4 linked regions of the Caenorhabditis elegans genome follow. The protein of the gene in region 4 purifies or fractionates together with the protein of the main gene of each other region. This does not show direct contact. Each region holds a gene or a part of one and is shown on either strand. Other genes may lie near its edges. The genes, in order: sax-3, madd-4, vem-1 and unc-40.

Region 1 (7,964 bases), on a different chromosome or scaffold from region 4:
GAGCTTCCTGCCGAGTTCATTCCAGCGCACACATAAGCTCCCTCATCAACTTGACGAACTTCCTCAATTGTCAATGTTCCAGTTGGTGAAACTTTCGTTCTACCATCAGCGGACACATAACTTGGGAAAAGAAGATCCTGTTGGCCTTCCTTGCTCCAAAAATAGGCGGGACTCGGTTGACCGACCAAGGTGCATTCAAAAGTTGCCGTGCCTCCAGCTGGAACTGACTGGTCTGCTGGTTTTGTCTGGAAGGATGGAGGTGCCTGGACACGAAGATGTGCAGATGCTTCAAGAGTTCCCGCTGGATTTCGTGCATAGCAAACGTATTCACCTTCGTCTGATGGTTGAACTCTGAAAAACGTGGGTATGAGAAATTGTATTTAAGATTCGCATTTCTTTTCAGAAATTTGAAAAGCTCAAATTATTTCAATTTTCATTAAATTCTATAAAATAATGTTCCCTTTGATTTTTCAGTTTTTTCTCGATTCGCAATTTACATTGAAATTTCATTTTGAAACTTTTTATTATTTTAAATTGAAACGTGACCATTTTGTGATTTTAAACTTAGTATTGTTTTTTATTTTCTAGTTTTTACAATTGAAGTAGTAATGAAATATATATGCGTATAAATACTAAACACTTCAGTGCTGAAACATTAACAACTTTTTGGGGGGACGAAATCTATTGGTACCTAATCATTTTTTTTGTATAATGCGACTGTTTTCCAATAAGTACAATAAGTATAGGCTTTGTAAATTTTGTAAATCCAATACTTTCCCATTTAGATGCCTAAACTTTTCAATAAAAAGGCTCGCAAACAGGTGTCCAACAACTATCATTCATCAATGTATTTCAGATCATAAAAAATATAACCTAGATCTCCGAAAACGGTTATTAGATTATGTCTCTTCGGTGTCTCTTAAGAGATAACTAAATCCTTTGCAAGATGAGATAACACCTCGACTTTCTCCCACTTTTATTACCTTTCGATTCTCAACCCCCGATTATCCTTGGCAATGTATGCACGTGTAACTGGCATCGGCTCATTTTTGCGTTTCCACGTAATTTGTGGTTGAGGATCTCCAGTCACACGACAATCAAACAGCACTGCGGCTCCGACGTCGACCGTCATGTCCTTGGGTTCTTGCTGAAATCAACATCAAATGAATAGTAATACTAATCATCGAATTAGTAAGATTGAGAATAGAATACAGGAAGTTACAAAACCCCCTGTCGACATTTTTTTTGTTAATCTACCAGTCATTTAGCATTTTCATCGGAACAATGAAATTGAAACGACCTTGAGTTACAATTTAAATTAATTTTAAAAGGACTATCGCTTCCACACGTACCTCAAACTTTGGTTTCTCAAAGACACTCAATCTTGCGGGATTGGACACCCGTTCTCCGACCATGTTGTTGGCAACACACTGATAAGTACCAGAATCGCTTCGATCGACCGGATCAATGATGAGGTTTCCGTCAGAGTGTAGAGTGTATCGTGGCATGTCTTGAATTCGGAGCTCTTTGTCGTCTTTCCGCCAGCTCACAACCGGCTCCGGGAATCCACGTGGCGGACTGCATTCCAGAACGGCCATCTCTCCACCAAGAGCCTGAAAACAATTGAGTAACGCTTCTGTGAATAATTATTTTTTAATGGTCTAAAAATCGCGTTGACAAATTGTGCAGTGCGGTTTACAGTTTTTGAAAAACTGACGAATGAAGTTTTTTGTAACATTGATGGTCCAAATCTTCGGTTTTTCGGGGTTACCAAAAATTTTCAACTGACAAAATAGTGATAATTTTTTTTTTCTGTAGTTTAACACTAAAAAATGAGGTGACATATTTGAACTGACTCAGAATATGCCGTTTTATTCTCTATTTGTGCGGCACCCCAACTGTTTAACTGACAGCATATGTCTCGAATGCTTTTGAAGATATTAAGAAGTTCAAAAACAATAAATTTACAGAGAAATTTAACAAAACTGTGCTCAGTTAAAATTTTTACAAAAAATCCAATTTGACCGAGATACGAACTGTCAGGGTTGAGCCATGGAAATGCCGCAGTAATAGAGATTATAAGGTAAACTGTCAAAGTAGAAAAGTGCAGGATTAAGTGAAAAAATACGTAATATTATTCAAAGTATTAAACTTTACCTGAACTGTTCTTGGCCGAACTCGAAAGTCTTCGCGAAGCATCGCCAATTTTAACGATCCTTCGTTCGACTTCACTTCTCCGTGCTCGTTGCTGGCCACACAATAGTACGCTCCCGCATCGCTGTCTTTTCCGTTTTTTCCACTATTCACTTTCAGAAGAAACAGGGATCCCGTGTCGAGAACAATCCGGTGGCTGTTCACTTGCTCCTTATTCGTGATTACGGGCTGTCCATCCTTGTACCATGTGATTTTGGCGGTAGATGGCTTTGCACCACAGTTGAGGGTTGCTGGCGATCCCCTAGATACCACCACATCGATGGGATGTTCGATTATCACGGGAGCGAGATTTGAGGCATCTGAAATTATATTCAAGATTTGAAAAGGTTCAAAACAACATCATTCCCCTGTTAGAATTTTTTTTACTTTCCTCATCTCCCATTCATCTTATTTCCACATACATCAACACTTTGATTTTATCCATCTTGACAATGTGAATAAGAAAGGAAACTTGTCCAAGTGCATTAAATCAATCTGACCGATCCGGCACGCGCAATACTGTCACATCTGTATTATGGTGTCGAAACGAACACCTTCCCTCACCGATTTTTCAGTAGAGATGTGCGACACTATTGTCCTTGACGGACGGTAGGTAATAAAATGATTCACTAGGAATTTTATCAAAATTTATGTATGTGTGTGTGTGTGTGTGAGTGTGGTAAAAACCTAGATAGTACATTAACGGCTGGTTTATTGGGTGTCGGTGGTCTATTACATAAGATTGCCATTGACCTCCGACGGATTACCCATCTTCTCCCATCTGCTTCAAAAAATATCAAAAAGCCATTTTGAATCACTTGTTTATGGCATTCACCCTGACACTGCTGCGCACACACTTAATAAAAATTTCAGCAGGCCGACTTGTTTTCCTCCACTTCAAAATACGGACCACTGTTGTTTTCCACTAGTAAATTACCAGACCAAAGTGTGGCTAACAAGCTGCCGGATTCAACAATTTAATTAGCCTGGCTGTCCTTCTGTCTCTTCTGTCACCTCTTTAACCTTTCAACAATCTAGCGTGCCAGTGTCAAAATGTGCGCACGCGAGTAAACTATCCATGAACCAATGTATTGTACTCTGGCTACAATTTAATGGCCGTGTTAACCTTCAAAATATTATACTACGCTGCCTGCCCGCCTTTTCATCCATAGGCAAGACAAAACCAAAGAGCTGTGAAGATGTACACATATCTCATCCTGTCAACACCCAATTTCACAATTCGCCCGTCATTCTTTCGCAACACATTGGTGTTGAAAGCTTCTGCTAAAAAGCAGGCTGTCTTTCTAAAACATGAGATGCAACTGAATATTTTGGACAGCGCCAACAGCTCATTAATAACCTACTAGTCTCTGGGGAGGGATTTCAAATAGCTTCTCATCTTCTATCAACCGCATGCTAATGATTCTCAATTTTACGGATATTCGCATGCATCTTAAAACTGTGCTAAAATGTTTAAATGACCCAGGTTGGGGCAATTTATCACATTGAATAATGACTTGCACATTGCACAAATTACATTGTGGAAATGTGGAAATGTGGAACAAGACAAATATCGAGAGTCTGCGGGTGGTCGCTCCCAACTGTTTCTTATATTTTCGTTGCAAATTACACTGGCTCTGGTCGCTGTACAAAAAGACTTATTGTTTTAAGAGATTAGCATTTGAATGGTGAATACTTGAGAACACGCGCCTCAATGAGACTAACTCCTCTCATTCATTTTCTATACCATTTATTCTCCCCCCGTCCTATTCACTATTGTTTTCTCAACATTACCATCCAAAAGCGGGGCTTGGCTCGGCCAAGAGGGCAGATGGCAGTCCAAAACGATAATCGAATCTTTTTACACTATAGTCGGCAAACGAGCTCACAATCCAAGCAGCGAACCCGCTTTTGGTGTTTGACAAAATGAAGAGTCATGTCTAATAGCGCAAGAGTAGAAAAAGCAGCGAGTAAAGAGCATTTTTCCAAGATGGAGGGCATTCGTTTCCGCGCATTCAGTCAATCTTCGTTTTAATCGCTTTCTTCGACATGGGAAATACAACCCAACCTAATGGATTTTCCAAGTTTCCAAGTGAATTCAAAGAAAACCCACGAGTGGATCGAATAGCGTGTCTTGTTGGCGACGCGTTTTTTTCACCATGTAACTTGACACTTTTGGTACATTCTTAACTTAACATTTTTTTTCTAGAAAAAAAAAACCAACCTTCGCAGAAGCTTCGGATTACTGCTTGCAATACCAGGAGGATAGTGCATAACAGCGTTTTTCGATTGAACATGATCTTGTTTTATTCAATCTGTGTCCAATTTCAAAGGCTGCATCTAATTGTGGCGGTGTTCTGAATTTCCAGTTGGGAGACACCTGCAAGAAAAACACAAAAGTAATCAAAGTTATTGGCGGTTGTTTTAAGAGTGGGCGACAAAATGACGGAAAGAGAATGAGGGAATATAAAAGGAGAAACAAGACAAAATAGGTGATGGGAAAAAGATGGAAAAGGGCGAAAAAAGCGTGGCCCTGGGTGTAATCATTCATCTTTGCTAGGGTGACACTCGGGAGAATAGATTTAGAAGGAAAAAAGGAAAAGACACAACAAAGTAATTGAAAAGTTGACGAGCGTCGTCGTCGTCGTTTTCAAGACGCGAAGACGATTTGTGCGTCCGTTTTTGCGCATTTTCGGTGGTGGTGGTGGTGGAGCGATTCGGACGGAAGCCGACCCTAAATTGGACTAGAGAGCCACATTCTAGAATGAAGAACAAATTTAGTCTTCTACGCGACGGAAGATGTTGGACAAAAAAAAATAAAGAAAAAATGCACGGGAGGCAAAAGTAGCCAGCAGGAAGACAAGCAACAAAAAAAATGAGGACGCAAAGTTAGGAGGCAAACGTAGTGAGACTGGTTAAAGATGACGCGCAGAAGGACGGATGAAGGATGGATATAGAAGATGAAAGAAAATGAACAAGTCGATTTTGAAAGGATTTTCTTAAATGCGGCGAGGCGTAATCAAAATTTGGTGTAGTGAAAAGGCAACTTGAAAAAGGAAACCTACTCTGACAAAAAATATAAAAAATCTTTAGTACTAAGTTCGTGGCAGATTGGGAAGTGTGCAGGAGTTGTTTCAAACTGCACAAGACTCCCGAAAAGCTATGCAAAATTTTATTTTACGCAGGAGTTGTGCAAGATTGTAGTAAGAATCCGTTGAAGTTTCAATCTAAGTAGAACTTCATCAAGTCTATATAGGCGTTTTACTTTACTTGGGAAATTTGATTTTTGCCAGAGTATCAATAAAATAACTATAGCTACAATTTGAACATGGAAATTAAAAACTTCAAACACAGCAAAATGGCCAAAATTAGGAAAATACCTTGAAATTAAAAGAAAAACGGATTTTCAACATCACCAAATGGTTCAAAATTTTTATACATACAAAAAGCTTTCATTGTTTCTCTAACAACCAAAAAGAAACAAATCACAATTTAGTACAAATGCATTTGCAGAACATTTAAAATGAGGACCGTTGAGACGAATTGCTAGAAGGCGTAGACGCAGAATGTTAGACATCAGATTTCCTCTTCAAGGTGTGTGTGCAATGCGCGGGGAGATAAACGCGCAAAGAGGAGTGAGACAAGTATCGATTTATGTTGTGCCAGCGATTGAATAATACTGATTAGATAAACTATCTGGCAACAGGCGGGCGAATAAGAAAAATCAATACGCTTTATTCTAGACAAGAAAGTACTCGAGAACATATCAAAGCTCTCAACTCAATAAGGTCGTCAGAAAGCTCATAATTGTCAGATAAATAACCTAAATAATGCGCGTCAAGAGCACGGCGATGACGGATGTCCATGTCATGCAAGCGGCTCGATACGGAACGAAACCGCATGGAATATGAGGGGATAGCCGGGGCTATACGTCGCCCCCTTCCCTGGTTAAGTAATTATTCCAATTCGTGGCCGCCCTCCTCTCACATTCGACTACCCGTTCATTAGGTCCATTGTAGACCGAACCTATGCCCATGGACCAACGAGGCAAACGATTGGGGGACGGGAGGACGACGAAGAAGAAGGAAAACCCGGCCCTGTCATACAACATCTGTCGTGTTGTGTCTATACGTTGTCAATGAGCAATAGTTACACTTGTAGTGGAACCGATAAAATTCGCAAGAATAGGTGGGGAGATTCGAAGAGCCTGTGATTTTTGCGGGGAAGCAGACGGTGGGGAAATGTGGAAAGTAAAAAAGTGAGAACCAGTGACAGGAATTGACCATAATTTCGCAAAGGTGTCGGCGGGGCGAGAAGCTGGACAATAAACTTTATGGCACTTTACAAAGTGCGTTTGTTCGTTGAAATGAGAAGATCACCTCTTTTTCCGAAAAGCAAAAAGTTCAGAAGAAAGATGGCACAATAACCAAAAAGAAAAAAAAAAGAAGCAAAAAATGCAAAGAAAAGTGTGATGGGATGGGAAAGTCTACCAGGGAGAATAGAATTGTGGTCCGCCGCAATTCGTCATGGGGTCCACTGGACACCTGCTCGACCGGACGACGGGTCGATGGCGTGAAAAACGTGGATTGGAATGGGGGACGTCAAAGAGGGGCACGAAAGTGTGCGCCAAATGATTTTTTCCCCCTCCCATCTTTTCTCAATTCCGCGCTCCTTTGCCCCGCCAAGAAGTGGGTCGCCGGCGGAGCAAGTGGTCAGTGGCAGACGACGGTGAGCAAAAGTGGGTTATGCAAATATTCCTGCTCTCTCGGTGATATTGAATCTCTCTTTTTAAATCCAAAGAAACATGAGGTGCGTGAGAAATTATGATATGGAAGTTTTTAATACATGCACGTATATTTTTCGGCAATTTCAAACTTTCAGACAATTTTTGAGCACTTTTTCAATTGTTTCAAATAGAGAACAAGTTATTTTCAGATAAAAAATTAATTTTCCATTTTTTGTAACTAAATTTTTATTTAAAAAAAAACTACTTCGGGGAACATGCCAGACTGGCTCATTTTGTAGAATTGCCAGCCTGCATTTGCCGCGCACCTTTGGCACAAATGTTAAAGTAGCGCGGTAGGGAGATTGGTGAAAACTACTCCTATGGTGCTAAAATAACTAAATATCTTTGTAAAATATTTCAAAAATTTTCAAAGGTTTTTGCTGACTGTCAAAAAGTGGCAAATACTGAGTTTTTGCATTTTTTAAAATGAAAAATTAGCACTGTCGCGTTTTCAAATCCCCACAGAGTTTTAATATTAAAATTTGAATTTTTTTTTTGATTGACAACGTCCAAAAAAGTAACAAAAACTGAATACACACGTTTGTAAAAATGAAAAAATTCAACAAAAAAAAGTTTTAAAAAGTTCAACTGTGTATGATATTTAGTCATGCGCCACTTTTAAACGATTTTATACCTTTCTAGAAGATACTAAGAAAAATGCTTTAAAAAACAAGACAGAACATTTTATTCACTAATACACTACATCTTGCGTATCAAAATGAACCAGAAAACAGAAACACACATGTTTTCCGATGGCTTTTTTTTCTCGACTTTTCGTGTTTTTCAGGGCAATTGCACATTTTATTATTTTTGCGACTTCACGACAGCCATCCGTGAAAGCAGATGAAAAGCTGACTGACTCCGAAAGATGATATGCATAATGAATCTGTTTTCCAGAATAAGGCGGCGAAGATGATGAAAGCGGAAACCCGACAAGGATGCAGGAGAGGAGAAGGGTGCGGGTGAGCTCTCTCAATAAATGAAT
Region 2 (8,287 bases), 3.3 Mb from region 4:
AGGGGATATAAATAAAGAAATGGCTGAGAAGAAAGTACCCCAAAAAAAATTAAAAATATGGCAAATCAGCAAAGACTGTTCGTATTTTTCGTGGTTTTACTTTTTGCAATTGGTAAGTTGATTTTTTGTTTAAGTTTGGACGGTGGAGTACTATTCTCACTTTATGGAAACTGTAACTCTTAAATTTTATAAACAGTCGAGCACTATTGAGTATTTGTTCCTTTGATTTTCGATTTCCGAATCCCATTTTTACAGAACAAAACAAGTTTATCCGCTTAGAAATGTTCTTTAAAGAAAAAAAAACTGAAAAAAAACAGTGCAAGTTTTCATAATATGCATAATATGAACAGTTAAAGATATCCATACTATATTTATTAAAATTAACAAAAAGAATTTCAGTAACATACGCACATCATTCACATTCATATTCTCATTCACACGAGCATCATCATCATCATCATGGAGGATATTATGGTGGAGGTTATGGTGGATATCAACCATATTATGGTGGTGGAGGATATAATGGATACAATGGATATTATAGGCAAAACTATTGGGGAAGAAAGAAATAGACAATGGATGCAATTAGGAATGACATGACGACTGGATTTTATTACTGTATTCTCTCTATTTTAATAAAAGAGACTAATGGTTTAACTCTGGAATTTTAATTTTTTTTCAATTAAATAAAATGTTTTAAATATATTGAAATGGGTTGCAAAAATGAGGTTTTTGTTTTTTTCATAAACACAAGACTATCAATAACATGTAAGTAGAATTGTTCACAATGTATAAAAACAATCAGTTGTATTTTACCAGAAAATTCAATATTTTTCTTTCCCTCTAACTTCCTGTCTTTTTATCCGTTTCTTTCTTTGGTGTTTATCATTGGAAAGAAATTTCTTCACTATCGTTATAAATTGTTCTGTCTACTGTACCTGTCTGAAAATGGGCTAAAACATGCCGTACGCTAGAAAACTTTCCAGACCTGAAAAACGTAAAAATTGTCCGTGCTTTATTTCTCGTTTTAGCCAATTCTTCTTCAATAAATCGTTGTGGACCAAGTGTTTGTCTGTCCTATACTGATAATCCTTTACCTCCTGTACCCATAAAACTAATCTCGGTTGTCCTTCCAAAAAGATCCATAAAAAATAATGTTTTCCGGTCCCTTTGAAAATGCACGGCAAGAAAAAAGTAGAATAGAAAAATAAAACAAGGCGTCAAAATCAGTGTAGAAAAAAAAGTGGCGCCTTTTTGCCGAAAAGAGAGTGTCTTTTTGCTTCTTCATCTTTTTTTGTGTAATGGGTGAGGGGACCAAAGGAAAGGAGTGAGGAACAACATTTATAAGAATGCTCGAGGAGCAGAACCAGCACATCCTCTTCTTCATGCTCCTGCTCTTGGAGCCGCCACCCCGCCAACTTCTCCTCTTTTTTCTTTGTCTTCCGGAGTCCTTTGGTTCTCCTGGGACCTCCTTCTTCCCTAAAACTAACACAGAGTCTATATATTCATAACTTTTCTTTTCGTTGGATTCCCGAGCCAGTTTTTAGCCATCCCACTGACTGGAACTCCCATAACTTGGTCTTGTGTTCCTCGTCTAGGCATTTCCCGTTGAAAAACCAAGATTTTTTGCATTTTTTAAACAAAGCTCCCTTCTTTGTTTTGTAGGAGGGAGGAGCTGTAACCCGATTTAGAAGAAAAAGTCAGCGCCCCTACAAACAGGAAGACCTTAACTAGGTTCCCTCTGTTTGGCAGTATTTCAACAAAATTTTTTCAAAATTTTTCAGCTTCTATATTTTAATAAACAAATTTTTCATAACTTTTTTAAATGAAGTTTACTTACTGTAATTTTCATATCAGACTCGCACTATCTGTCAAAATCCGCCAAAGTTAGTTTACTAACTTCCAAATTTAGAACCATTTTTGGGGCACAATGTTGTTCAAAAGTTGTTTGTTTCCCGTTTCCTTGTTTTTTAAAATTTATCCAGATATGTTTATGAAATTTAAAGTATTTTATGATCCAGGTCGATTTTAGACAATTTTCTAATCGACGTCGACGTATGCCGAAGCTGGGGGTACCTGCGTCGATTAGCCTGACTTCGGCGTCGATCAGAATAGATTTACCAGAGTTTAGTGAGAAATGTGTTTATGTTTTCATAAAAACCCAAAATTCAGACGTCAGAATTCAAAAACCTTCCCCTTCAAATTTTAAAAGAAAATGAGTTGTAGTCGCAGAATATGTTACCTGAAAAGAAGTAGGGGTGACTCTATTGTCTTTATTTCTTTTTTCTTTTTACAATTTTTCATTCTCACTTTTTTTTTACTTTTCAAGTTTGTTCAATAGTCTTCTGCAAAAATATTTCAGTTATAATAGTTGTGTTTTCCAAAAAATTAGTTCAATTCTTTTTTTTTGCAGTTCTTCTTTGTTTTTCCAGTCATGTCCTCATTCCATAAATCCCATTGGTCGTCGATTTCCCATTTTGAATTGCCCCTAGTTTTCCGATTTACTGCATTTTTCAAAAAAAAAGAAAAAAAAACGTTTACTATTGAATACCTATGCCTGGTTGAAAGAATGGGTTTTGTCAGACACTGGTTAACCTTTGCTCAGCTCTTTTTTTGAAGTTTGTAGTTATCGTTTTTGGAGTTTTTATTACAACCTGGTATCATGAATATTTTTTCTCTTCCATTTTCATTTTTCCTTCCCAAGTGTGCTGCCCGAGTCTATTGGAAGTCAGAATACCAACGTGTTCCTTGACACTTTTTGATTTGATTTCCACATTTTTTCCTACATTCTCCTCTTCTTTTGGCTTTTCTTCTCTCCTGAGCAACGAAGTTTAACCATTGCAATATTTGTAACTTTCATATAATAAGTAGTGGAGTTTTTGAATTGATTAAAAAGTTTTTGAATTGATTTGCATCATGGTCTAAACGAATAAAACTTCTCCAAGAGACTCCTCAAAAAGCTTTCAATAACGTAGTTGTTGTTCAAAATTAAAAAAAAATTACAAAACTTGTGTTCCATCGACTAAGATGGTACCTAAATTCCAAAAAAAAAAACGAGTAATAAATTACTAAACTGGAAAATTTGGCATATATTCCAGGTAAATTTAGCCTGTTTCTTTCAGATAATTTTGAGTACATTGAATAAATTTTGTTACTACCTCTATCCCGGCTCGCCATTCGCCTTGTTGCTTCCTATCAAAAACTTTTGTCTAGGAGTTACTCAACACGACTTATCAATGAATTGCTAATTTTAGAAATAATTACTAAAAAATGTTGGAATGGGTTGAGAAACCACATGTTCATAGGAGAGTAAATTTCTACGAATTCAAACTAATTTTGCCAAATATTTATTGTAATTTCTTGCTTTTTTTTGTTGATTGTTGGCCCACTTACTTAGTTTACGTTAATGTTTTTTTTCTCTACAGCTACTCTTTTTAATTAAATTTCTTTTTGTTTTAATCAGAGGTAAAGTGCTATAATTTGGCTCAACCAACTCACAGGTGATTCGCGGGTTTTAAAATACTTATGAAATGTAGTTCGCGCGCTTCTACAAGAGGCACCAGCGATATAGTAAAATACTTGCAAAATCGCAAATATTGTGCAAATTGCGATCACCGAGAGTCGCGATTACCAAAATACTGCTAAAATGTTAATGGTCCCGCGGCGAAATTCGCGATTTGCAAAATGCATCTAAAATATTGGAGGTCATAAGTATTTTACAAACGGCGAATCACCTGTGCTATTGTAAAGTGGAAAACTTCTATAACTATTTCTTCGAACCCTCTAATTTTCCTATCCAAAAAATAGTTGAAGCCCACATAAATCTTTTAATACATTTATCTCTATTTCATTCTTTCTCTTCTAACTGGTAATTTGAAATTCGAATATTTTCTTCAAGTTCCGGCATCTGTATATTTTCTTTTTATAAAACTTCCAAAAAAATATTTGCAGCCAAGGACAATTCAAGCGTTTGTTAATTTTTACACAAAAAAAGGAAAAAAAACAATGAAACAAAGTGTAAAATGAATGAAAATGAAGTGTTCATATACCGTAGTATTTTTACTATTTTACTTGCTTATTGCGAGTTTCCACGTGGATGCTCTTAGTTGGGCGGCATGGAGTCCTTGGAGTTCGTGTACTAAAACGGTAATCGGACAGAGAAGCTATTCAGAAAAAAAAAATTTTCAGTGTGGTGGCGGAGTTTCTCGTCAGTTACGACGTTGTTTGACATCAAAATGCTCAGGAGAATCAGTTCGATTCAAAGTTTGTGCTCAAAAAACTTGCGAGTCAAAATCTAGATTAGCTAGGGATACAATATGTGGAGGAGAGGAAATAGTCTCCAGGGGACAGGTATGTATGAACCACTTTCAAAATAATGTTTTCTTGTGAAGAAACATTTATTTAAAAAAAGTTTTTGTAGTAGTAGTCAAAAAATAATTTGGACAAATGTACCGAATAACCAAAAACGCAAAAACGTTCAGCCCTGCAGCAAGAGTGTTGTTTTTTCGATTTCTCAATTTTTTATGAATGTCGAAAAAAAAATTTCGGATTCTCAAACTATTAATTTTTTAACGGTCTAAATTTCAATAATATCCACATATCATGATACATAACATTCTAACAATTTTGTAAAAGTTGTGGTAAATTTCCAAATTTTCCAAAAATGTGGACTTCCTGAGAAATTTCGAGTTGTACTGCAGGTTTGAATCCCTAGAGTGTTTAAATATAAACAATCTTTAAAAAATGCGGAAAACTGAGTTTTCAAGTGTAGATTTAAAAAAGCCAAATAATTGTTGAAAAGTTTGAATTTTTTTTGAAAAGTTTGTGAATCATACATGAACAGTTTTCAAGCACCTATAAGTGAAAAAATAAGAACTAAAATTCAGTGCGAAGTGGTATGCCGATCACGCTTAACTGGTGCAAATTTTCTTTGGAGAGTTGATGATGGAACGCCGTGTCAGGCCGCAACAAGTAGAGCTGTCTGCAGTAAAGGGTCTTGTCAGGTTACTAAATATAATTGTTTTAATTATTATTTTCCCCAAATTTCAGATCGTTGGCTGTGACGGATTGATTAGTTCATCTTTTCGATTTGATGCCTGTGGAGTATGTGGAGGACGAGGGGATACGTGTGACAATGGAAAGTTCATTTGGAAAGTTTCCGGTAGAATTTTAAAGATTTACAACAATCACTCAAAACACTAAGATTTCCAGAAGAATACACTGCATGCGCTTCAAATTGTGATGATATAGTTGACTGGTCAGGTGCTGGACGTTCAATTGCTTCAACTAGTCAACCAATTGTTGTATGTGTAAATGCAATAACTGGAAGAGTTGTTCCTGAAAAGTTATGTGCTGATAAATTGAGACCGAAAGTTGAAGCAAGACCATGCCCAATGCTGATTTGCCCTTCAAGGTTTGAAATTTTAAATTATTTTATATTTATGCTTAAGTGCATAGTTTCGTAAATAGTTTTAAATTCTAGTTGTTGTCTGTACTTTTTGAAAAGCACAAACCTCTAAAAAACAAAAAACCGAACTCAAATTTCTGTTAACTTTTGTATTTTAATAATTTGAATTGTTTTTGAATATCCAATTTCCTTTTTCAAGAAATATTCTTTATATCGTTTCCTAAATTAGATTTGCTAATTTGATTTTAATTAATAATTTCAGATGCCGGTGAGTTTTTCCAAAAAGATCCCAAATCAGGGTGTGGTAAGCTGAAAGAGTGTGCCCCATAAGAATGACGGGGATTATTGATTTTTTATTTTTTCTCAATTTATTTTTGTTTTCTATATCACATTCACTTCTATTTGAATTTTCTCGATAAATATTTTTATCGTTTAGGAATGGCTAAGTTCAATTTTTAGATAATTTGAGACTGACATCTCTTTGCTTTATTAGACGCTGTGTGTCAATTTGAATATTTATGGATTTTGAAGTAATGAACTGAAAACTTGCAGATGGATGGCTGCAGACTGGACAGAATGTGTACCACATTGTGGTGAAGGGACAAGAAAAAGAGAGGTTTACTGTGTACAGACGGCGCATAATGTTACAGTACATGTTCCTGATACCTTCTGTGAAAATGGAACAAGACCGGTTAGTTGTTAAAAGTTTTAGCCATTGTTTCAGATGTTAAGTAGAGATCTTCTTATTAATGCTTGAGCGGAGCATTCTCAAAATGTTTTCAAAACACCAATTTTAATAATAACACCTCTTGAAATTTTCAGAAACATTTTTATGGCGGTTAAAAAATTTGTTGAAAAATTGTTTTTTTAAGAGGTCTTTTTTTGAATTTCGGCCTATAGGGTCAGTATAAAGAATACGCTACTCCAGATTTGACTTCAAGTATTTTTCCAAAAAATATATTGTTTGGGCGAAAACGTTTAAAAGCCTTGCCACTATAATTGTATATATTGTTTTTCTGTTACAGACGCAAATTTTCCAGATTTCTTAGCGTTATCATCTGCCTTTTTAAAAAACAACTTTCCTAAATTTTTTTGTTTACTTGCATGTTTCAGAAATAATTTAGAAATCTCTCTAAAACTTTCCTGAATGATAACTTTCAGGCAGCCGAAGAAAACTGTGTATCAACATCATGTGGACGATGGGAAGCCGGAAAATGGTCAAAATGTACAGCTTCGTGTGGCCAAGGAGTGCGACGACGTCACGTGGCATGTGTTGGAGGTTCAGATTGTGATGAAGGAGGACGTCCAAGACAAGAGACAACATGTTATGCTGGAATACCATGTAGTATTGCAACAAATAGGTGAGCTCCATTAAGAAGTGGAGAATTGGTAAAGGCACTTTACGCCAAATCATTAGGTAGAATGTGTGAGCGTAAAATGATGAGATTTGCAACAACTTTTTTGAAACTGAAATTGCTGGTTTTTACATTAAAAAAAAATTCAACTTCCAAAAAATGGTATTTTTCATTTAATTCTAGCCTACATAAAAGTTAACAGCTTGCCAAAATTAGTGTACGAAGCAAATTTTACAAGCTCGACAAACTCAACAAGTTTCGTTTGGTACTTGCTAAATGAAAATACTTGCTGTTATATTATTTAAAAATTGTATAGTCTAGAAAAGAATTTCAGATCTACATAATTATTTTTTAATCGAAGCTTTACTATTCATGTCTAAAAGTTCGATGTAAAACGAGTAAGTTGAGCAATCCCCCTTCTACACACAACTAACAGTTTCTTCAATATACACATTTTGTCCATTTGTACTCTTTTTCGGAATTTCTCATCAATCACATTCCTACTAAACTTCTTCCTTTTTGTCTTCCATTACAAATTCAGTGTATTAAAGAACTCTTTCTTTGTAGAGATGACTCCATTTTCGTAGTTGTACTTGTACTTGATTCCAAGAGTGAGAAAGATTTGAAAAAAGGGATGAAAATAGGGAAGAGTAAGAAAAATTACTACTCGTCTTAACTTTAAGCTGTAAAAGGATGAGCGGAGTGGAATAGAGGGGGTAAAAAATGGTCGAATAGCAGGGATTATTGAAGTTACCCATGGGAGTTTATGTGAGAATGTTGCCAGTTTTTTGGATGAGAAAGAACTACGACAGGAAGTGACGAGGTTTACTGTATATGAGAAAAGGTACAGTGATAACTGAAACGCGTGTTTTCTTTTGTGAGGTCAGAAAATTCCATGTCTTGGTGGTCCCATTTCTATTTGGCGACGATACCTGAGACGCCATGAGTTTTTTCATTAGATCGTTTGTTTTTCACAACATGGTCTATCGTTTTTAGGAGCAAAATAAACCCATTGGCAATTTGTTCTGAAATATCCTATGGGATTTTGTGCATATTTTTTTACGCATGGGCGGAATAACTGCACTGAATTTTCACTGAATTACTTCTTCTCAAATTCTCAAAACTAGAAAAAAAAATTATAAACAAGTCCAGACCACCTAAATAATTTGAAAGGTCTACATATGTATCAATGACCCTGTGAGGCACGGAGTTATCGTCTCCCGCGGGTTTAAAAGCTAGACAAACTCGTTCAATCGTTTGATATTTCAAACAATTAAGATCTTTCGCCCTCAATTATTGAAAAACTCACCAATATTGGTATGAGAACATCACGCTCTAAAATCAAGCTTGAATGTGGTCCCCAGATAAATTGGAAATATAGGTCTTCAAATTTTGGAACTAGAACCGCCTTAAAAGACATCATTTTCAAATTTCAGTTTTGCAGCAAGGTTCTGCATTCTTTCACATTAAAGTGATATCCCTAGGCATAAAATAAACATACTAAACGGTTGGAGATTTTCACATC
Region 3 (6,415 bases), on a different chromosome or scaffold from region 4:
TAATTATGAAAAAAGCAACGCGAAATTTGTTCAATGATGAATTCCAAAAAATCAGGATATAAAAACTTTCACTATTTTACTATAGTCAGATCTCAGCTCGGAATAACCACGTTTGCTGAAGTTGAAATCAATCTTTTGATATCTGTATGGCCAGTACTGTGCACTATCTCAAATTTAGGTTTATTGATAATCTACCTTTGACGAAATGTTTTCTCCCAATTGCCACAATCAAAATATCTGCTCTCAGGCATTTCTCCTTGAGATTTGGAGTTTTTGAGTGGCAGATTGTCACAGTTCCATGATGCCACAAGAAAAGCGCAGCGGCTGGAGATCCGACAATTTTCGAGCGTCCCAAAACAACCACCTCCTTTCCAGACACAAAGTTGGCATCACCAGTTGCCTGTTGAACCAAGTACAAGCATCCAAACGGAGTGCAAGGAAAGATCGTACGCTGGAGTTCTCCACGAGCCAAACGTCCAGCATTGATACGAGTCAGTCCATCGACATCTTTCAATGGGTCAATCAAGTCGATAACAGAGTCTGCGTCGATTTCGTGCTTGCAGTCCAGTGGAAGCTGAAATTAATAACTTGCTATTATTGTTTAGCTTCCGATGTTTTTTTTTAATTAACTGAGATGTGTTTTTTTTCCGTTATAAGTTAACATTTCAATATTACAACTTAATCCGTTATATTAACCTGAATGATAATTCCGTCAATCTCGTTGTCATGATTAAGAGCCATAATCTCTCGCTTCAAATCTCCTTGAGTGATGGTGTCTGGCAACTTAATGAGTTTTCCATCTGCTCCGATTTCCTTTGCTTTTTTCAGTTTGGAATTAATGTACACATTGGAGTCTGAACGATTTCCAACCTGCAAATTTTGAGACTTTGAGTTATTCAGTATAACAGATATCCCCTCGGATATTATTTGTCTTGTTACGAAATAAAAGCCGGTATCTCAAAAGTACACCACAACTACAAATTACGCTCTGCAAAACTTTCAAAATCTGTTTTGTAAGTATGCAATGCACTTATGTACGTCATGAACTCAAAACACAGATTGGACAGAGATTTTCATTTTCATATATTCAATTTAGAAATATTATTAAGTTAATAGCAATGCTTGAAATAAAATTATTATCAGTGGTAAGCTTTCATACCTGAACAATTGCCAATACTGCATGAAAATTTGGGTGGTGCTCACGGGTTTTTGCGATTTTCTGTCCGACATCGTGAAGAACCTTTTTTGAGTACTCGAGTCCACTGACGATCTCCGCGACCATTCTAAAAAATAAACAAAGTAATAATCAAGTTGAAAAATACGTCAAGAAAACAAGAAGGGGAAGAGTAAAGGAAAAGAGTACGAAACTCCTCTTGTACTTGGCTATTCATGGGAAGAGACTAGTGCAGAAGTCAGAGGACAAGCTGATTGGAAACTTAGCACATATTCACATTTCGATGGTGGGGGACAGAGTGAAAAAATAAAGCGTCGAAAAAGTTGAATATGCATAGCGGTCTGTTGTTTGTGGGGGAGTGATGAGAAGAGTTTTAAAACGGCCTGGCCTTGTTATCTTATGCTGAAGATCGCTATGATTTTATGTGTCGAGTGACTAGAGTTGCTTGTCAGCGACATTCTCATGGAAAATACATGTTCCACCGACAGTTTCGATGTCAAAGCTTCCGCATTAAACATGTTTGCTTGAAAATGAAAACAGTGTATCAAGGAACAAAATTCAATTTTTGTCACATGAAAATAATACTTTTGAAAGTTTTTGCTGCCTTATATGTTAACAATATATCAAAATAATGGACACAGTGCAGAAATGTCCAATACGAACGCGTGGCGGCGGACCATGAAAATCGATAACAGTCGGCGGCTGGCCTTGCATGCAATGCGCGCGCATAACACAGAAATCTTATCGGCATCCATACGACGCAAAATCTCTTTTTACCCAGCAATTTGCCGAGATAAAAACAATAATCATATCAACATTTTGACTACAATGGGACTGGGATCTTATCATGAAAACTTCTTACCTTGCAAATTTGAATGTGAAACTCATTATTTTTCTTATAAACTGGGAAACGTTGATTTTTAAAAAGTGTCTATTTCTATTAACCAGAAATCAAAACATGTTATTCTCAAATGTTTTTTTCAAATGATTTAAAATGAAGAAAACAAGTCTTATCAATAATGTCCTAAAACCTGCACAATCCAAATTATCGGAGCAATTGAACAGTGAAAATAATGAAGTAAATATTAAATATTAACATTTTTCAAAGGCGTACACAAAAATCATTTATTCAAAATCATTCTTCGATTTGAAAAACAACTAAATCACAGTATTTATATAAAATTTGCGAGAGATGGTGAGAAGGGATGGACAATGGGATTTCATATCATACAAAGAACATAAAATAAGATGTAACCGTTTTGGAATGTGCAACAATTATGGATTTGAATACAATTAGTTATCCTTTTTTGTGCCCTCGTCGCCACCATTGATAATCGAATCCAAAGACTCGGCTCCACGAACAAACGATTTTCTATTTCCATAATCTGCTTTTTCCGAGCTATTCTTTACCAGACGTCCAACAGTCAAGTACTTGAATTTGAACTGTGTCTCCCATTCGTTGGCGGTTTCCTGTAAAAATCAATTTAGGTTTTTTTGTTCACAATCAATCTGACCGAGGCAATATACATTTGAATTAGCTTCGATGTCATATTGATGACACAAAAAAGTTATGGTTTATGCCTGAGTTATGAATAAATACCACAAATCATAAAACAATGACTTTAAGGATTAAATGTTTATAACGAACTTTCACGTTCTTACTCATGAGAAAACTGCATAGCCTACCTGCTCGTCAGCAGAGATTCCAGTATGATCATCCCACTCGCTAGAAACAGCATTCTGGTCCATGGTTCCAAGCGCGCGGGTAGCGTCATGCCCGGCAAGTGTACCGTAGGCTTTTCCTGGTCCGTAAAATCCTTTTCCGCGAGTCACGTCATAGATAGTTCCGTTGAGTCCAAACAGAATGTGCTCATTTTTGACACCATCGTACTTGCGCAGCTCTTCAACTGTCATATCGGACATTGGCAATGGGGCGAGCTTAAGTTCAGGATTTAGAAAAAATACATGTTCATTAAAGAAGCTAATCAAATACTTACTTCTTTTGGTGGAGCTGGGAGCGGTTGCTCGGATCTGGTGAGCCAGTAGAAAAAGAATCCGAGAACGACGACAAGGAAGACCGCGTCGTACATTGTGAATTCAAACCAAGAGCTAAGATCCATTGTGACTGTACAGCTGAAAAAATGACAAACGTATAAAATTGAAACTCGAACATATGGTGGTCGTTGATAGATCAAACCATTAGTGCGAGGGAACCGTTAGAAGGACAAAACAATTCTAGACAGCGAGCCTCGAACTGGTTAAATGATCGCGATCGAGTAAGGGCACGCGCCTCCCACCTCGTCGATTAAACGGATTTATTTTATAGGTTTCAACGGATTGAAGCGGAAACGTAAGCAAAAAGATCAAAAGTTCAAACGTGATATTCACTACTTGTCTCATAAATTCAATGAAATAGCACATAGTGTGGCGGAGGTACTGTTGCGAATTTAAGAAAAGTGAAGTGGGCCCTCGAACTGAATGAAAAGTGTACTCTTCAGCAACAACAATAAATATAGTTTTGATTTTTCTCAAAACACAAAGTTTCAAAAGATGGTTCGGTGCAAAATATAGTAAAGTGTAATAGAAAATAAAAAAAACTTTTAGTAAAGTCTTTTGGTTGTCTGGAGACTTTGGAGATGACAAATGTTTACTAAACTTGATTTAAATTTTTTCTCTAGGGAAGTGCAAAAAGTCATGGAGTGTAAACACTAGGGGAAAATGTTTGTAAATAAATGAAATTTTAGTTTTTTTGAGTCTATGGCAAATATATGAAAAATATAATTCAAAAAGTGTAATCCAAAACAAGTGAGAGTTCACGAAAAATCATATTTCCTGAAACACTTATTCAACAAAATGATTTATGCAAAAAAGTAACAGAAACAGTATACATTTTGTAAAAAGTCAAAAACTAGTCACCAATAAAAACATCAAAAATCACTGCAACAGAGCAGGTGAACCCGTCGACGATGTGTGAGCGTCCTTGACTGTGTTCGTCGAACGCTAGGTCCGTAAGTTGCCGTCATTTACAGTGCAAGTGCACAAAGCGGTAAGAGAAAGAAGAAGGATTTGTTGTAAAATGAAGAAAACAAGATGTAAAAGAGAAAACGGAAGAAATTATCTCTAATTTTAGAAATTCGAAAACATGGTACATTATTTTCTCACAGATTTTCCCAGTTGCCGTCAACAATTATTCACTCAGCGATTGACGGTCGGAAATCGAGAAGAATGTGCGTTTTCGTCGCCTTATCGTTTCTATTTTATATTTGTCCCCTAATGTCTCTCGATTCTTCTTACTTTCACCACAGTCATCACAAACAATACGAGTAGTATTTGTAGCAAAGATTTTGTGGTTAGTGCCGTGGAACACACAATTTTTATCAAACAAATGTTTCACTGGGGTGCCCAAAGGTGAACAATGATTGTGTAAAAAAATAGAAACGAAGAAGAAAAAGAAGAAGTGAACCTACAAAAAGGAAAAGAAAACCCGTGCTCGGGCCGTTTTTGGATGGGAAATTGAAAATATTGCAACAGGGAGAAGCAAGAAAATGGGTAGTGGGAATTGAGGACGAAAAAAAGTTTCGGGAGAAAATTGAGTCAAGTCACAAAGCAATTCGTGGTTTGTAGGCTAAAAAGTATGAAAGGAGAAAACGGTGAGTACAAATCACACGTGACGTGTGTTTCTAGCAGATGTGTAGTAATCGAAATAAAAACAGATAGGAAACGGGTCATGGGAGTGATAATAGCAGCATGTTGAAGATATCGAAAGTCCACAGGAAAACGAGGCGTTTCTGCGTAACAAGAAATTGGATTATCGTTAAGAGGTGGCTCTCTTTTTCTTTTTATACATAACATTCTAATAATATGCAAATATGCATGTACTCATGCAGAAGACACTGACATAAGGGCAAATCTTAAAAATCAAATAACAAGGGATTAACATTTGCTCTCTATAGTCTCTTTTCTGTCAATCGATTTCGACAAATTGATCTCATCTTCAAACCATCTCGGACTGCTTCCAATTGCAGCGAGTATTTTTTCATAGGCAGAGAGCGATGGATCTCCGTTCCGAAGACGTCGCTGGCGCAGATAGCTAAAATAAATATCCATTGTTTCATGTTATTAACCTTAGAAGTTGATTTTTAAGTATTTACATTTTTTTTAATTTGAAAATTGACGATTAAACACAAATTTTTCTACTTCAGTTTCAAGTTTAATTATATTTGCAATATTCTCCAAAACTCTGAGAGTTCCAACATGTGTTTTAGATTTTTTAGTACTAAAAGAATGGGTGTAAATTATTTATATACTAATCGTACACCACCTGCAAAAAATATATGCACCTAAATACTTTTCAATATATAAATTAAATTTGAATAGTAGTATTGAATAGTTAAAAAAAAATCGTGTAATTTTTTTTTGAAAATGTTTCCAATTTTTAACAGGTGAAACGTTAAGTATATATTTATGTTTAAAATCAGAAAAAAATCATTTCAAAACTAAAACTATTGTTATGATAAATTTCTGTGGTAATCTATTAAAATTATTTTGGAAATAAAGTTGCTACACAAACACTTTAAAATCTTTCTATTGTAGTCTCCGCTTGAGAGAAGAAAACTAATTAAATCTCAATAATATGTTTCAGGTAAAATATTTTCTAAATGTTTAAAAAGTTTCTTAGTTAAATTTATACCTTCGAAATTAGTGATGTCAATTCAAAAAAATAATTTTCTATGAAAGCATTCTTTGATTCTTTGATTTCTACTTGCACCACATCGTATTCTAATCATACATCAGTTATATTCTCACGAAGTAACAAATTTTGAATATCAAATCGCACCTGATTTCGTCAAGTTTCTATATAAATATTTCTCACGAGATTTTTCTAGAGCTACCTTTCAAAATGAATAGCAACCACTTTTTCGACGAAGAAATGTTCGTAGAGCAAAGACAGGAAAACTCCAGCCAGTGAAATTGCGAGGAGAATAAAGCGCATCGATGTACTTGGAACGTAAACGAATCCCATCAAGTTCATAAGGAATCCCATGTTTGTGAAGATCATCACCATGTTGATCTAAATCACAACACTTTTAAAATTATAAATGTGCAAGTTGACATACGGCGCCAATAACAAAAATGATTCCACAAAGAAGCCAGTTAGTGAACACAGAACGACGATAAGGATGACCTTTAGAGTAGACAAAAGCATAACCAAGATACATACAGCAACTGGTGAAGAAGACA
Region 4 (7,980 bases):
GAAGAAAGTGGTTTGAAGGCCCGATTACCAAAAACATTCGAAGATGCTTCAGCAGATGCATATTTGACATGTGAGCAACATGGGCATTTATCATCACTGGCCTTATTGCTAACCATACAATCAGGGCACTCCCAATCAACACGTGTACCATTGGAGGATGAAGTTACAGCAGCAACAGGAGCAGATGCGATAGTAGTAGGGGCTACTGGAATTGTGGCAGGAACAGTTGTTGGTGGTGGAGCAGTTGTCTTGGGGGCTCCAAAAAGTGGTGCCACTGAAGAACCGCTTCCGAATGGAATTGTGTTTGAAGTTGTCGATGCAATAGTTGTTGTCGTTGAAGCACCTGATCCAAATCCGAACTTGACAGTACTTGGTGTATTCGATGCGAAACTACTGAGATTTGATACAAGCTGCTTTTCGGAAGGTTTTGGTTGACTTTTTGGACCAGTACCAGATCCTCCTGGACGTGCTTCCCCACATGCCCCACATTCCGATAGCTGAAAACAAATTATTTGTCAATTTCTTAGTTTCTTTTCCGATGAATTTTTATACTTGACAATTTTCTGAAAATGTGAGACTATGCTCTAAAGACACATGATGTACTTTTCAGCGAGACTCGTGACGACTTCAATTATTTTAGTTGAAAAAATGGAACATTTCGCGCACGCTTTCCTAAACCCACGAAAACTGTAGACTAAATTTTGTTATTAATTTTAAGTAAAACATAGTAGACCCAGTTTAGAGTTTTCTCGTATCAACATCAAAATTTCTTACCGTAGAATCCCAACTACAGAAACACGATTGACATTCCCATTTTTTAGAACCAGCATCGACCACTGGAGCTGGAGCAACCACAACTGGTTCTGCATCTTTGGCAACTTTTGGAGACGAATCCTTTGAACTCTGATTGGATCCTCCGGCAGATGAGATAGTGTCAGCGGAAGTTTGTGGTCGCGACTCTTTCACTTCACTACCATTCTCCTCACCGACGTCTACTTCTGAGTCTTCTGATTCTTCGGAATCTGATTCGTTTCCACTGCTTTCAGATGTTTGCTTTTCTGTCGATTCTGCATTGCTCTCACTGCTGGACTCGGATGCTTTATGTGAGCTTGCCGTACTTGCGGTTTTTGCAGTTCCAACAGCAGTAACTAAATCAACTGGAGCTGTGAATGAGAACGCGAGATCGTCCAAAAACCCGCGCTTGGGTGCATATTCTGGCGCCAATTTCAGAGGTTGTGGATTCTGCAGAGTTGTTGTTGGAATTGGTGGAAGTTTCTGTGAATCCTCATCAACTTCTTCAATGTCATCAGAGAGTTTGAACGTATTTCTACTAACTGGTTTCCCATCAGGTCCCTTCATAATTGAGGCATGTTGTTTTCGACTATTTGACGAGTTTATGGTGGTCGTGGATGCAGTTGATGCTGTCTTCTTTGGAGCTGGTAAGTCCAGTGAAAACAAGGAGCTCAGCTGAAATTTAAAAAAGTTAAGATAAAGTCGAATAATTTAATTATCATAATTTTAAGTTTGTTATAATTTCTGAAAATTTCCCAATGAAACGTTTAAAAATAAATACTAGACTGTGATAATCTCGTGTCTAATTTTAGAAAATTTGACCAGAAAAACTTTTTCATAATTCTTGTATCATTTTTTTTCAAGTGTTTAAAATCCAGGTTACCTCTGCAGTCGCAAAGTTTCCGTTCAATGATTTCATTGAATCAGAAGATCCAGTGTCTCCATTTTTCGACGATGTTCTTTTCCTAGTTAAATCCGTCCAATAAGGAGCACGTCGAGCGGACATTCCCATAGTCTTTGATATGAGCTGTATACGAGATGGAATTGCGTCTCCAGCTTTTTTCAATGGAGGTGGTGGTGTGCCAGTTGCTGAACCATTTGGAACCTTGCTCTCGCTAAACGATCCCCATTTTTCTGGTCGAGCAATGCCAGCTCGAAGCATTGACATTCTCTGAACTTCTTTCGCGGGTGTATTTGCACCTTCAAGCTTTTTGAAAATTTCTTGAGTTCTTGTACTTAATGACCCGTTGGTAGTTGCTCCACTTCGTCGGCTCAAAAGTGAGAAATTTGTGATAGATGAAGCAGGAGAATGATTAGCAGTTAACTCTCCACACCAAGTCATATCCATTTTCCTCTCATTATTCATTGAACTATTAAGAGTTGGTTCCAGTAATGATCTGTTCAGGAATCGACTTCGTTTCACACTCTCACTTCGAAACGATTGTGGTAGAATCTGCTTGTCGAGCTCTGTCAGTTGACGTTTGCGATTCTGGAAAAAAATATTTCGATAGCATTTATCAACAGGTTTAATCTAATTTTTCTGTGAAAACACATTAATAAAAAGACAACTTTAAAAATTTACCGTGGAAACCGCAGGAGTGCTGAAGAAAATATCTGGAACAGCGTCCACATCGATCTCTAAGCCATTGGATGCACTCGTACGCCGATCCAATGCAGTCGGACTGAGGTATCGAAGACGTGATCCGATGCGATGGTTTTGTGAGGTATTCACTGAAGTTTCATCTGGAATTTAAAAAATAATGAGTTGAAATTCTAGTGCCATGTACTGATATGAAAGTCAATGTGATTAAACTTACCTGAAGCTATTTTAGCTTCATTATCTACGGATAATATATTTTTCAATGCTGGAGACGCAGAAGGAGACGATTTTGAAGACGAATTGGATGTACCTTCATCATTCGACTTATCGCCGTCTTTGCTTTTAGTGGCACTAGCTCCAACAGAAAAGAAGCGGCCAACCGATGAGAAAAACCCTCCGGATTTATCGGACATTTCTGAAATAGAAAAAAGTTGTTTCGTAATTGAGACTAAAGCTGAGAGAGACTGAAGAAATTTTTCTGCGCCGTGTCAGAAATTCTCGATAAAATAAAATTCTTCAAAAACGACACTTTTCGAAATACTTTTGAAACGCCTAAATGAACTACTGGAAGTACCAAAAGAACATGACAAATGCACCTAATATGTTTTGGTAAAAATTCCGAATTATTGATCGATAACACAGGTCAAAACTACAGAAATCATTCAAAATCGTAAATGTTTAAATTTAGGCCGCGCCAGTAAACGCAGCATTAAGCATTAAACTTGATATATTTTTAAGGCAAAAAACCTTTTACCAACATTGAATTTTCGAAGGAAAGAAGTGTAAATTACATTAAAAATCAATAAAGGAATTTAAAATCGCAAATGGCGCGAAGACGATTAAAAAGAAATTTTCGAGTGCGCACACGCGACGCATACGCGACGCTTTCAACGACATTTGAGAGGTTAGAGTGCAGACAGTTATCCTTCCATTAACAACATGAAGAGGGTGCAGAGAAACGAGAGAGTGTCCATTCCACAAGGCCACACCCCTTCAGCTGGACACTTCTGGAGCTCTTTTGACGACGTTCGACCCTGTTTTTGACTCTTTTTCCGTTAAATATATTTATTTTCTATTCAAAATTATTTTTAACGACCTCTTTTCCATCTTTTTTTCTGTGTTCAAAAAATGTGTTCAAAAAATCCAAAGGTAAATAAAAACATTATTTATTTCAGACCCTCTGCATCACCAATAGAATGCGATAATTCGACAGAAGTTATTTAATTCATTCAGTAGAAATGATTTTGCGACATTTCGGTGAGTTCCATCTTTTTATCTTATCAATTTTAATAATTTCTCCGTGGAAAAGTTTTAAATATTGTTGTTATCACTTTTGTGTTGATACAAATAAAATTAAAATCCTATAATTTCGTAGTAAACGAAGTATCTAAACCCGAACCTCTGAAAGAAAACAAAAGGAAATTAAATAAAACTTCATTACTATTTATAATTTTCAGGTTTCATTCTTATAATTCTGACAGTTTATCTGTCATCTACTCATGCCACAACACGGAAACATCATCGTCGATCGATTGATAATGGTGAGAGTTTTTCACATTTGAATTCAAAAATATATTAAAATGGGGGAAGGAAGATGACCATCTGGCATTCTGTCAAGGTGTCAGTCACCGGCAACATAATTTATCGATTCAAGAATGGAATTTTGAAAATAGAAAAATATAAATAAAAATCATCTTAAAGTCAATACTTGGCACTGAACTACCTTGTGGCTATTTTTAAAAAAAATTGACTCCATAAAAATAATACAAATCCAAGAAAAGTTACGTTTTTTTTAATACTCTTACCTATAAAACACTTAGTTTATCGTCGAATTAATGGTTTTACTTTGAAAAAACCTTCTTTCAAAATTATTCTCAATTTTCGAGTTCCGATCTAGCAGAGTTGTTCAGCAATCTTTTAGTTCCTTCACACCTTAAAGATGGAGCAGCGATTTTTTTGTCCCCAGAAGAGAGACATCTTGAACGTTTTCTAAATTATGGCGGTTTAGGGAAAAATTAAAATTTTAGTTAATTTTGACTCCGCTTTTGAGAAGCCTCATTCCGTCACTCGGGGCCTTATTTCACTACCCCACGGTGGGTACCACCTTTAAAGAAAACTTGACGCCAAATTGTAGCATTTTTCACTACAAACCAAAAGTGGATAGCTCAATTCCCCAGATTCTCTAGGCGTTTGATGTTCGAAAGATTGTAATCTCTACACAAAATCCACCAGATTCGTTCATTTCATTATTGTGTGTGTGGGTCCCAATGGTTCCACATGAAGTCTTCTCTCTCTCTTTTCTTCTTACTCTTGGAATGAATTGTGACACAAACACACACACACAAAACGAAATGCCATCATCTTCTTTAGCTTCCACCACACAAATCTTTCTCTTCCATCCCCTTTCGATTTCAATTGATGGATGAGGCAATATGAGGGACACGGGTCTTCAGTTGATGGTGTTCCCTTGATTGCATAATGCTCCGGGAATACATTCATTCATCATTTAAATGATGATGATTTCTTATTGATGAGTAGCAAAGTTCTGTTTCTAAACATTTACGAAAATGTGAACTAATTGGCTCCAATTTTTGAGCGGCGGAAGAGAAAGAAGGACGCTTTGGGTTTATTGTTATTTCGGAATGGTCAAGGTTGAAGACTGAGAAAGCTACAAAATAATAAATCAGTTGTGAAAATATGTTTTAATTCTGGAAAAAAATAAGGATAATTTAGTTTAACTAGTAAGGTACAGAAAAATATCAACAAAAAAATTAGACGCGATAAGTGGCATTTTACAGTATTCCCCAATTGATAAGGACTTTTTCGGTTTTTAACTGCATTTTTTTCCGTGAATTCATAAAATAAAGGTTCTACGATGCCGCATGTATCACAAAAGAATTTATCGAGCATGTGAGAACGTATGGAATAATGACTGAGGAAGAAAAATGAATGGTTATTATTATAATAGTATACGTTTCGTAAACCTTTCTCGGAATATAAATGGTCATAAGATTCTCGATAAAAAAAACAATACGAATGACTTTCTGAAGGAAATCCTTTATAAAACCTTATTTTCAGATGCTCGGAATCTTGGCTTTCAATTCGTAATGGAACCACGACGGAATGTGACTGTTATGGAATCATCGTCTCATTTATTAGAATGTAGTTATGTTCTGGCTCATGAGAGACTTGTACACGATGTCCGAATTGAATGGAAACGTGATGGTGTGTTGCTCAGTGAACGGACATCTTCTAGAATGTGAGTTTTTTTACAACTATTTGTTCGGTTTAAAATTTTTTCGATTTAAATTGATGTTCAGTGTCAATACACTTATAATAGTTTTTAAAAAAAATTAGATTTTTCAATATTCACCGTCATTCGTTTGGCAAATTTTGCAAAAATGTGGACTTTTAGGTAATTGTTATAGGCGAACTCCTAGAATTTTTACATACGAAAAATTGAAACATAATTAAAATATGAAACTAGTAGAGAAAAAACATTTTTTTGATCGACTTCCAAAATTATGATTTCAAAAAACATGTCAAAATATTTTGAAATTTTTGTTACGATATTTGGACATTTTGAGTATAAAATCAGTTTTAAACAATATCCCTACTGCACTTTTAACCTCGGTAGAAAAAGCTCACACTTTTAAATTGGGTTGAAGCTGACTTTTTCGTTAAAAAAAAGATATCAATTGTGCTATCTTGTAATCTTTAACCTTCTTTCCAAGTATATGGTTGTTTGAACACTCTTAACTTATTTCACCAATAAAATCGGATGCTCACATTCTTCACAAGGACTCCTTTGTGGATTCTCGTCAAAGTTTCGAAAATATGCAAATGACATTGAGACATATAACTCATTTAGATGGTGTATCTCCGTTCTATCGGAATGTGTGTATATACACTTGTTTCTTCTCCTTCTTCTATTCCTAATCCCTTCAAGAGCATGCAAGCGAGTGGAAGTAGTGACTTTTACATGTGTCTTTCTATGCACATATAAAATTTCGTCCTGGCTTATTCATGCATATGTGCATAGGAAGGACACTTTTGACCGAGAGGATTGGAGTCTATTGTTGAGAAGCTTTTGTTGTGCAAGAAATTGTTTTTCTGCATATTTCATAACTTGTAGTTGTTTTAGTTTCCAATGGCCACTGAAATGTTATGAAATTTGCCGGAAATAGACCGAAAGTTATTAAGCTTAAAACCGAAAGTACAATCAGAACAGAATCAACACATTGGAATCAAAAAAGTTCACACAATTAACTATATGTTCCAATTTTTCAATTTCCTTGCTTTGAAATTACCACTTTAAGATTCTGTTAATATTAAAGTTGTTGGTTTAAGCTTACAAAGTATCTATATATTGTGTAACCAGATACTATTTTCGCCTTCACAACATTCAACAGAAGTAGACCACCCGCCAAAGACGTATCCGCGACAATTTCCTGCCATTTGTCATGTATCTCCTCCTACTATAATGCCATGTCACCATTATTATTCTGGCATTAGAGCTAGGTAATATTAGGTCAACAATTGTTTTCCTGAAGCTGTCTTTGCCGGGCCTGTAGTCGTTCTTCTGTTGTCATGGTCATTAATCAGAGGCGACTGTGGGTGATTCGATCGAAATTGAGAAACGATGGGTGGATGTCGTCAAGACGATTGATTGACAGGCTCAAGGTTCTGTTGAAGACTATGCAAATGGCATTGAACAATTTTTGCAGTTTTAATTTCATTCAATACAAATGAATCATCAAAGTATGAATGGAAACTGGTCAGGGATAAGCTTATCCGAGTTGGATTTACTTTTTCAAAATGGAAAACTTGTTCACATTTAGTAGCAAATAGCCTTCGGCGAATATTTATTTTCTTATTCCATGAAGCACGAAAGTGCGTATTACAAATCAGGGTCTGAGAATTCTGGTAGTCCTTCGTAGATGTGATGAGCGCGTTGCACACACGTAAATGTGCGCATACACACTCATTCACTGAGACCATCTGTCAATTGCACACCACAGAAGTACTTGGAAAAGATAGGAAGCGACCCACAACCATATGGTTGCCAACGATGATGGGAATCGCAATAAAAATGAGAGAAAAAAGTTTGGGAAAAAACTTGAAATTATTTGAGAACATAGCAATATAGTTGCTTCGAATTTTCGCAAGAAATGTTTGTATGAATGTATAATAGAATACTGTAGTACGTAGAGCTCTACGTAGAGAAAAAAACAAAATAAATTTGAAAATTCTTCAACTAGATAACATCTTAATTTTGAAATAGACATATTAAATGCAATTTGTCTAAATATTTAAGTTTTTTATTTCAGAAAAGTAATGTCAAATGGTTCATTATGGATAGAATCAGTGAGCAGTGCCGAAGAAGGAACATATCAATGCGCTGTACATGTGACTACAAAAAGCGATCAAACAAGTGATACGTGGACATTTTTGAGTCGAAAAGCTACGTTACGATTGGCGGATTTGGCAAAGTTTGAACTGCAAGCGATTGATCGAACTCTAGCAAAAGGGCAGCCAACTGCGTTTCATTGTCTTATTGTGAGTTACTATAAAATATTTTGAGATTT

Evidence for each region.
Region 1: the proteins of unc-40 (region 4) and sax-3 purify together in Caenorhabditis elegans (affinity purification with western blotting; one study listed by BioGRID). This does not show direct contact.
Region 2: the proteins of unc-40 (region 4) and madd-4 purify together in Caenorhabditis elegans (affinity purification with western blotting, with the first as the bait; 2 studies listed by BioGRID). This does not show direct contact.
Region 3: the proteins of unc-40 (region 4) and vem-1 purify together in Caenorhabditis elegans (affinity purification with western blotting, with the first as the bait; one study listed by BioGRID). This does not show direct contact.

The regions. Positions count from the first base shown.
Region 1 is NC_003284.9:3,461,353-3,469,316, forward strand, and holds the start of sax-3 (Protein sax-3), read right to left. Parts: upstream 4,576-7,964; 5' UTR 4,534-4,575; coding exon of another isoform or gene 4,504-4,533; 5' UTR 4,491-4,503; coding exon 4,418-4,490; intron 2,514-4,417; coding exon 2,158-2,513; intron 1,614-2,157; coding exon 1,353-1,613; intron 1,148-1,352; coding exon 984-1,147; intron 352-983; coding exon 1-351. UniProt on the Caenorhabditis elegans protein: Required to confine migrating sex myoblasts to the ventral muscle quadrants during their migration through the body and for multiple aspects of sensory, motor, and interneuron axon guidance.
Region 2 is NC_003279.8:8,937,950-8,946,236, reverse strand, and holds the start of madd-4 (Protein madd-4), read left to right. Parts: upstream 1-3,949; 5' UTR 3,950-4,032; coding exon 4,033-4,146; intron 4,147-4,188; coding exon 4,189-4,350; intron 4,351-4,886; coding exon 4,887-5,003; intron 5,004-5,049; coding exon 5,050-5,161; intron 5,162-5,211; coding exon 5,212-5,413; intron 5,414-5,669; coding exon 5,670-5,675; intron 5,676-5,959; coding exon 5,960-6,098; intron 6,099-6,568; coding exon 6,569-6,768; intron 6,769-8,287. Other genes in the region: fip-6 (Fungus-Induced Protein), read left to right, coding at 58-112, 400-572. UniProt on the Caenorhabditis elegans protein: Component of an extracellular matrix cue that is involved in the guidance of dorsoventral midline migrations and in the specification of postsynaptic domains at neuromuscular junctions (NMJs).
Region 3 is NC_003284.9:8,085,268-8,091,682, forward strand, and holds vem-1 (Protein vem-1), read right to left. Parts: upstream 3,308-6,415; 5' UTR 3,295-3,307; coding exon 3,172-3,294; intron 3,113-3,171; coding exon 2,861-3,112; intron 2,645-2,860; coding exon 2,468-2,644; 3' UTR 2,288-2,467; downstream 1-2,287. Other genes in the region: dao-3 (C-1-tetrahydrofolate synthase, cytoplasmic), read right to left, coding at 196-574, 697-870, 1,160-1,282; catp-5 (Cation-transporting ATPase), read right to left, coding at 5,108-5,264, 6,067-6,245, 6,292-6,415. UniProt on the Caenorhabditis elegans protein: Transmembrane protein required for the axon guidance of a subset of ventral nerve cord-associated interneurons and motor neurons. May function with the netrin receptor unc-40 in axon guidance.
Region 4 is NC_003279.8:5,687,091-5,695,070, reverse strand, and holds the start of unc-40 (Netrin receptor unc-40), read left to right. Parts: upstream 1-3,567; 5' UTR 3,568-3,630; coding exon 3,631-3,649; intron 3,650-3,849; coding exon 3,850-3,933; intron 3,934-5,470; coding exon 5,471-5,651; intron 5,652-7,722; coding exon 7,723-7,951; intron 7,952-7,980. Other genes in the region: npp-7 (RanBP2-type domain-containing protein), read right to left, coding at 1-497, 775-1,467, 1,676-2,281, 2,375-2,535, 2,610-2,805.